2 linked regions of the Anolis sagrei genome follow. The protein of the gene in region 2 purifies or fractionates together with the protein of the main gene of each other region. This does not show direct contact. Links are inferred from orthologs where the notes say so. Each region holds a gene or a part of one and is shown on either strand. Other genes may lie near its edges.

Region 1 (3,750 bases), on a different chromosome or scaffold from region 2:
TGCACCTGTGTTCACACTAGGGAATATTGAGTATCTGTGCCAACTTTGGTCCAGATCCTTGTTTGAGTCCACAGTACTCTCTGGATGTAGGTGAACTACAACTCCAAATCTCAAGATCAATGCCCACCAAACCCTTCCCATATTTTCTGTTGGTTATGGAGTTCTGTGTACCAAGTTTGGTTTGATTTCATCGTTGGTCGAGTTCAGAATGCTCTTTGATTGCAGGTGAACTATAAATCCCAGCAACTACAACTCCCAAATGACAAAATCAATTTTTTTTGAGTGAAGGACATACGTTAGGTTGTTAGGTGTCGAAATTTGGTGTCAATTCTTCCAGTGGTTTTTGAGTTCTGTTAATCCCACAAACAAACATTACCTTTTTATTTATATAGATTGCTCTTAGGATCAGATCCTGGGATATAGGGCCTGTCTGGAAGTGTTATGGGCAAGCAGTTGTTTCTTTCTAGGGCTGCAGAATTAATGCAGTCTGACAAACACACACACACAATGAACTGCCATGAATCTACAAACTACAAGAGAGGAGATTCCATCTGAACATGAGAACTTCCTGACTGTGAGAGCCGTTCAGCTTCCAAAGAAGGAGCCTCCACCACACTCCGGGGCAGAGAGTTCCACTGCTGAACGGCTCTCACAGTCAGGAAGTTCTTCCTCGTGTTCAGATGGAATCTCCTCTCTTGTAGTTTGTAGATTCATGGCAGTTCATTGTGTGTGTGTGTTTGTCAGACTGCATTGATTCTGCTGCCCTAGAAATAAACAACAGCTTGCCCATAACACTTCCAGACAGGCCCTATATCCCAGGATCTGATCCTAAGAGCAATCTATATAAATAAAAATGTAATGTATTGTCGAAGGCTTTCATGGCTGGAATCTCTAGGTTCTTGTGGGGTTTTTTTTTCGGGCTATAGGGCCATGTTCTGGAGGCATTTCTCCTGACGTTTTGCCTGCATCTATGGCAAGCATCCTCAGAGGTAGTGAGGTCTGTTGGAATTAGGACAATGGGTTTATATATCTGTGGAATGGCTGGGGTGGGGCAAGGAGCTCTTCCCTGCTGGAGCTAGGTGTGAATGTTTCAACTGATCACCTTCATTAGCATTTGAAGGCCTGGCTGAGCCTGGGAAAATCCCCTGTTGAGAGGTGTTAAGATGTAATGTAATGTTTGTTTGTGGGATTAACAGAACTCAAAAACCACTGGACGAATTGACACTAAATTTGGACACCTAACAACCTAATGTATGTCCTTCACTCAAAAAATTTGATTTTGTCATTTGGGAGTTGTAGTTGCTGGGATGTATAGTTCACCTACAATCAAAGAACATTCTGATCCCCACCAAAGATGGAATTGAACCAAACTTGGCACACAGTTCTCCCATGACCAACAGAAAATACTGGAAGGGTTTGGTGGGGTGAGAGCCGTTCAGCAGTGGAACTCTCTGCCCCGGAGAGTGGTGGAGGCTCCTTCTTTGGAAGCTTTTAAACAGAGGCTGGATGGCCATCTGTCAGGGGTGATTTGAATGCAATATTCCTGCTTCTTGGCAGGGGGTTGGACTGGATGGCCCAGGAGGTCTCTTCCAACTCTACGGTTCTATGATTCTATGAATCTTGGGGGGAGGTGTTTGGGTCAAGGCCTTGCAAAACTACAGCTCCCAGGATTCCAGAGCCACGGCAGGAAGAGCAAAAGGTTTCACCTGAGGAGAGGCCCCTCCCTCCCCAGCTCCGTTTCCCTGGCAACCGCGCCCCTCCCTCCCCTGCCCCCCCCCCCGCACTCACGATGGTGACGCTGGCCTTGCGGAGGTCGCGGTTCTCCTCCTGGAGCGCCTTGCACTTGAGCTTGTAGGTCTCCAGCTCGATCTTGAGCACCTTGTTCTCCTGCTGCAAGGAGGCCAGCCGGTTGGTCAGCTCCTCCAGGCGGAAGGGAGAGATCACGATGCCGCCCGCCTTGGGGGGGCCCGCCGAGGACGAGGTCGCCGCCGAGGAAGAGGAGGAGGAGGACGGCGAGGAGGACGGGCAGCCCGGCGGCGCCGCCCCGCCCGGAGCCCCCACGCCGCCCCCGCCGTCCGTGTCGCTCTCGCTGGCGCTGTCGGCCATCCTGGAGGGAGCGCGGGGCCGCTCCGAGAGCGCCTTGGGCTCGGCCTCGCCTCCGCCTGCCTCTTTCCCTCGCCTCGCCTCGCCGCTCCGCGGGCTGCAGCCAGGGCCGGAGGAGGAGCTCGCCGCTGAGGAGAAGGAGGAGGAGAACCACCACTGCGCATGCTCCCGGCGCCTTGGGAAGCCGCGCGCGCTCGGCGCCGAGAAGCCAAGGCCGGCGCCGCCTCGCGCCCGCCTCGCGCCCTACCCACAGCGCCGCCACCCGCCAATGGTGGCACTGCAGCACCAGCTCCGCCAAAAGGAGACCTCAGACATCACCACCACCCAGGCCTGTAGCGAGGGGATGGTTTTAGGGGTTCAACCCCCCCCCCCGAAATGTTTCAATTTTTTTTTAAAAAAACCTGCTTTACTCATGAATTTTAACTGGTTAACCAAATCCCCATGCTAAGTCTATGAAATGCAAAAAATTAAGAGTCCCTCCAGAACTGTAAGCACTATCTCAAGCAAATATTGACAATTTATTCACACTGTCATTACTTGCAGCAATAGCCGATGTAGTGAAGCAACCAAGTTGGGGTGTGTGTGTGTGTTGAATGCTCTCATTAAGGAGGCCAGACTTGGTGGAGGTGGTTGACAGGGGTGGAGCAGGCTATTGAAGGTTGCTCTGCCCTCTGCTGGAGTCTTCCTTGTAGGATCTTGAGCATTACCTTACTGGCATGAGAAATAAGGGCCACTGTACGGAAGTTTGAGCAGTCTTTCGCATTTCCCTTTTTTGGTATGGGGATATAAGTTGATTTTTTCCAGTCTGATGGCCATTCTTGTGTTTTCCATATTTGCTGGCAAATGGCATGCATCACCTTGACAGCATCATCTTTTAAGATTTTAAACAGTTCAGCTGGGATCCCATCATCTCCTGCTGCCTTGTTGTTAGCAATGCTTCTTAAGGCCCATTCAACCTCACTCCTCAGGATGTCTGGTTCTAATTCATTCACCACACCGTCAAAGCTATCCTCGATATTGTTATCCTTCCTATACAGATCTTCTGTATAGTCTCGCCACCTTCTCTTGATCTCTTCAGCTTCTGTTAGGTCCCTGCCATCTTTGTTTCTTATCATATCAATTTTTGCCTGAAATTTACCTCCAATGTTTCTAATTTTCTGGAAGAGGTCTCTTGTCCTTCCTATTCTGTTGTCTTCTTCCACTTCCATGCATTGCTTATTTAAAAATAGTTCCTTATCTCTTCTGGCTAACCTCTGGAATTGCGCATTTAACTGGGCATATCTCCCCTTTTCACTGTTTCCTTTTGCTTTCCTCCTTTCTTGGGCTACTACCAGTGTCTCAGCAGACAACCATTTTGCCTTCTTGGTTGGTTTACATGGAGCGAGAGTTGCCAGATGTTCAAGCTGGGTTTAGAAAAGGCAGAGGAACGAGAGACCAGATTGCCAATATCCGCTGGATAATGGAGAAAGGCAGGGAGTTTCAGAAAAACATCTACTTCTGCTTCATTGACTATTCTAAAGCCTTTGACTGTGTGGATCATAATAAATTGTGGCAAGTTCTTGGTGGGATGGGCATACCAAGCCACCTTGTCTCTCTCCTGAGGAATCTGTACAAGGACCAAGTAGCAACAGTCAGAACTGACCACGG
Region 2 (3,750 bases):
TTCATCGCTGTTTCATATACAGCTTTTAGACATAGCCTGAATGCAATGTTATACCCAATTTTTGTGAAGAAAACAACATTTGTGTGTATTGTACCCTCAGAAAGCAAAGGTGTCAGGATCTCAGAGAGCATACACTGTGGAATCAGTGCAGTCTGACACCATTTCAACTGCCATGGTGCAAAGCTATGGAATCATGGGAGTTGTAGTTTGGTGAGGCACCAACACTCTTTGGCAGAGAATGCTGAAGATCTTGTGAAACGACACCTTCCATGATTCCATAACATTGATCCACGGCATTTTCAAGTGGGGTCAAACTGTATCTTGAGATTCGTGGGCTGGCAAAAGTTTCAGGATCTCAGAGTGCATACACTGACACCATTTCAACTGCAATAGTGCAATGCTATGGAATAGTGGGAATTGTATCTTGGTAACACTCTCTGACAAAGAAGGCAGAAGATCTTGTGAAATTGCCACAGCTCAATCCTATGGAATAATGGAGGTGTAGTTTTGTAAGGCCTTTAAGCCTTCCCTGCCGAAGAGTGTTTTTGGTGCCTCACTAAACCACAAATCTCAAGATACAGTTCGACTCCACTTGAAATTGCCATGGCTCGATACTATGGAATCATGGGAGGTGTAGTTTTGTAAGGCCTTTAAGCCTTCCCTGCCGAAGAGTGTTTTTGGTGCCTCACTAAACCACAAATCTCAAGATACAGTTCGACTCCACTTGAAATTGTTATGTCTCAATCCTATGGAATCATGGAGGTGTAGTTTTGTAAGGCCTTCCCTGCTGAAGAGTGTTTTTGGTGCCTCACTAAACCACAAATCTCAACATACAGTTCGACTCCACTTGAAATTGCCATGGCTCAACACTATGGAAGGTGTATTGTCGAAGGCTTTCATGGCCGGAATCACTGGGTTGTTGTAGGTTTTTCCGTGCTATATGGCCATGTTCTAGAGGCATTTTCTCCTGACGTTTCGCCTGCAGGGGTGATTTGAATGCAATATTCCTGCTTTTTGGCAGGGGGTTGGACTGGATAGCCCATGAGGTCTCTTCCAACTCTTTGATTCTATGATTCTATGCAAGCATCCTCAGAGGGTGCTTGCCATAGATGCAGGCGAAACATCAAGAAAAAATGCCTCTAGAACATGGCCATATAGCCCAGAAAACCTACAACAACCCACTATGGAAGGTGTCGTTTCACAAGATCTTCGGCCTCCCATGATTCCATAGTAATGAGCCATGGCAATTTCAAGTGGAGTCAAACTGCTTGTTAAGCTTTGTGGTTTCAAACTGTATCTTGAGATGTGTACTTTTGTGAGGCAGCAGAAACATTTTTCAGCAGGGAAGGCTTAACCACCTTACAAAACTATACCTCCCATGACTCCACATCCTTGAGCCATCTACGATGTGGAACTAAAGCACAGATTGGCATGGAAGGAGTTGTAGTGTAGTGAGGCACCAGCAGTCTTTGACAGAGAAGGCCTTGCCAAACTACAACTCCCAGGATTCCACAGATTGGCATGGTAGGAGTTGTAGTCTAGTGAGGCAGCAGCAGTCTTTGAAAGAGAAGGCTAAAGGCCTTGCCAAACTACAACTCCCAGGATTCCACAGCCTTGAACCATGGCAGTTAAAATGGTGTCAGGCTGCATTCCTTCTATTGTGTAGGTCAAGTATGGGCTAAGTTGGGCCCTTCCGGTGTTTGGACTTCAACTCCCACAATTCCTAACAGCCTGAGGCTGTTAGGAATTGTGGGAGTTGAAGTCCAAAACACCTGGAAGGCCCAACTTGGCCCATGACTGGCGTAGATGCACCCTCAGCTAGTCAGATAAGGGATGCTCAATCTATAATAATAATAGGGATTGATGGGATCTCCCAAGTACACCAAAGCGAAGCCCAGGCCTCGTGTCCCCCATTCCTGAGGGCAGTGTCCTCTTCCCTTTCCGTATGACCTCAAGGTAACCTGGAACCCTCTCCCCAGAGCCAACCAACCCCCACAACCCTCTCACACACCTTTCAGTGCCTCCTGCAGCCTCTCAACATCCATGGTCCGCAGCTACCTCTTCCTCCTCCTCCTCCTCCTCCTGCCCCTCGGGCCCTCACACAAGGAACAGGCCTCCAGAAGCAGCACAGGGGAGATATTTCTTCAGCCTCAGCCACTCCGAGAGCGAGAAAGAGAGAGGGGAACGACCGAGAGGCGAAAGACTCCCAAGAGAAAGGAAAGAGAGAGGAAACACACACTCAAAAAGAGAGAGACACAGAGAGAGAGGCAAAACCCCCGGCGGCCGGGCTCAGCAACCTTCCAACATGGCGCCCAAGCCGCCGCCGTGCGCGCCGCCGCCGCCGCTTGCTGCGCGCGCACGCACGCAAGCACGCACGCACACCACACCGCGAAAAAAAACAAGCTTCGCCTCTTCCCGCCGGCACGCAGAGGCGCGCGAGGAGAAGGTGGTGACGTCACAGCCCGAGAATGATTGAAAGCCTGAAGGAATAGCTCGAGTTGGGATTGGCCGAGAGAAGTCTTCCTTCTTTTTTTTTTTTTTCAAACTGACTTTTTCTCTCTGCTCCGCCCACTTCGGGTGACGTCACGCTTCGGTGGAAACTGGATTCGAGAGGAGATGCCTTCTCTTTTTTAAGTCCCGCCCACTCCCGGTGACGTCACGCTTCGACTGAAAGCCAGGTTTCTTCCTTTCTTCATTCAGTCTGAGGAGAGAGAAGAGAGAAGGTGTATGTTTTGAGGGAGCCCATGAGGTGAGACTGTCGACGCCTTTCAACATACATTTGAGCAAAAAGTTAGATATTTTGACAGCAACTTTGATATAATTGTGGCAAGTAAGCATGAGTGCATCTACACTGTACGTTTAATGCAGTTTGGCACCACTTTTAACTGTCATGGCCTAATGCTGTGCAATCCTGGGAGTCCTTCTCTGCCAAAGACTCCTGATGCCTCACTCAATTATGACTCCTAAGATGCCATGGCAGATAAAGTGGTATCAAACTGCATTAATTCTACATTGTTGATCAGACATGGGCAAACTTGGGCCCTCCAGGTGTTTTGGACTTAAACTCCCACCATTCCTAACAGCCGGTAATGTTCATTTGTGGGATTAACATAACTCAGAAACCACTGGGCGAATTGACACCAAATTTGGACACAGGACACCTATCAGGCCAACGGGTGACCATCACTCATAAAAAACACTGAAAAACACAGCAGAAGAGACTTAAAAAGCAAAAAAAAAATTACAATGCATGCACAAAACCACATATATACACAAATATATACACACACAAAACATACACAGCAACTCATGGCAGGGAACGGCTAGTACCACTAATAAAGTATTTTATTTTATCAGAAAAGAAATCTAATATCACTTTTAGCCTTTATTTATTTATTTGTCATGTCAGGACAACCAGTCAAATTATATTACATTTCTAACAAAACAAACAGACAAAATACAGAATGTGTGTGTTTGATGGTTGATTAAATGTCCTTTGACCAGTATCTGGCCACTGGGAGTGCTTCTGGTGTTGCTGCAAGAACGTCCTCCATTGTGCATGTAGCAGGGCTCAGGTTGCATTGCAGCAGGTGGTCAGTGGTTTGCTCCTTTCCACACTCGCATGTCGAGGATTCCACTTTGTAGCCCCATTTCTGAAGGTTGGCTCTGCATCTCGTGGTGCCAGAGCGCAGTCTGTTCAGCGCCTTCCGAGCCTCCCAGTCCTCTGTGTGCCCAGGGGGGGAGTCCCTC

What was found. Proteins that work in one complex are often made in the same cells at the same time.
Region 1: the proteins of PPP4R2 (region 2) and CCDC6 purify together in Homo sapiens (co-immunoprecipitation; 3 studies listed by BioGRID and IntAct, counting the BioPlex papers as one, with this or other methods). This does not show direct contact. The link is inferred for Anolis sagrei from reciprocal best matches to the Homo sapiens genes PPP4R2 and CCDC6.

Annotation. Positions count from the first base shown.
Region 1 is NC_090023.1:164,696,557-164,700,306, forward strand, and holds the start of CCDC6 (coiled-coil domain-containing protein 6), read right to left. Parts: upstream 2,334-3,750; 5' UTR 2,107-2,333; coding exon 1,789-2,106; intron 1-1,788.
Region 2 is NC_090022.1:40,801,937-40,805,686, reverse strand, and holds the start of PPP4R2 (serine/threonine-protein phosphatase 4 regulatory subunit 2), read right to left. Parts: upstream 2,344-3,750; 5' UTR 2,046-2,343; coding exon 2,012-2,045; intron 1-2,011. UniProt on the Homo sapiens protein: Regulatory subunit of serine/threonine-protein phosphatase 4 (PP4). May regulate the activity of PPP4C at centrosomal microtubule organizing centers.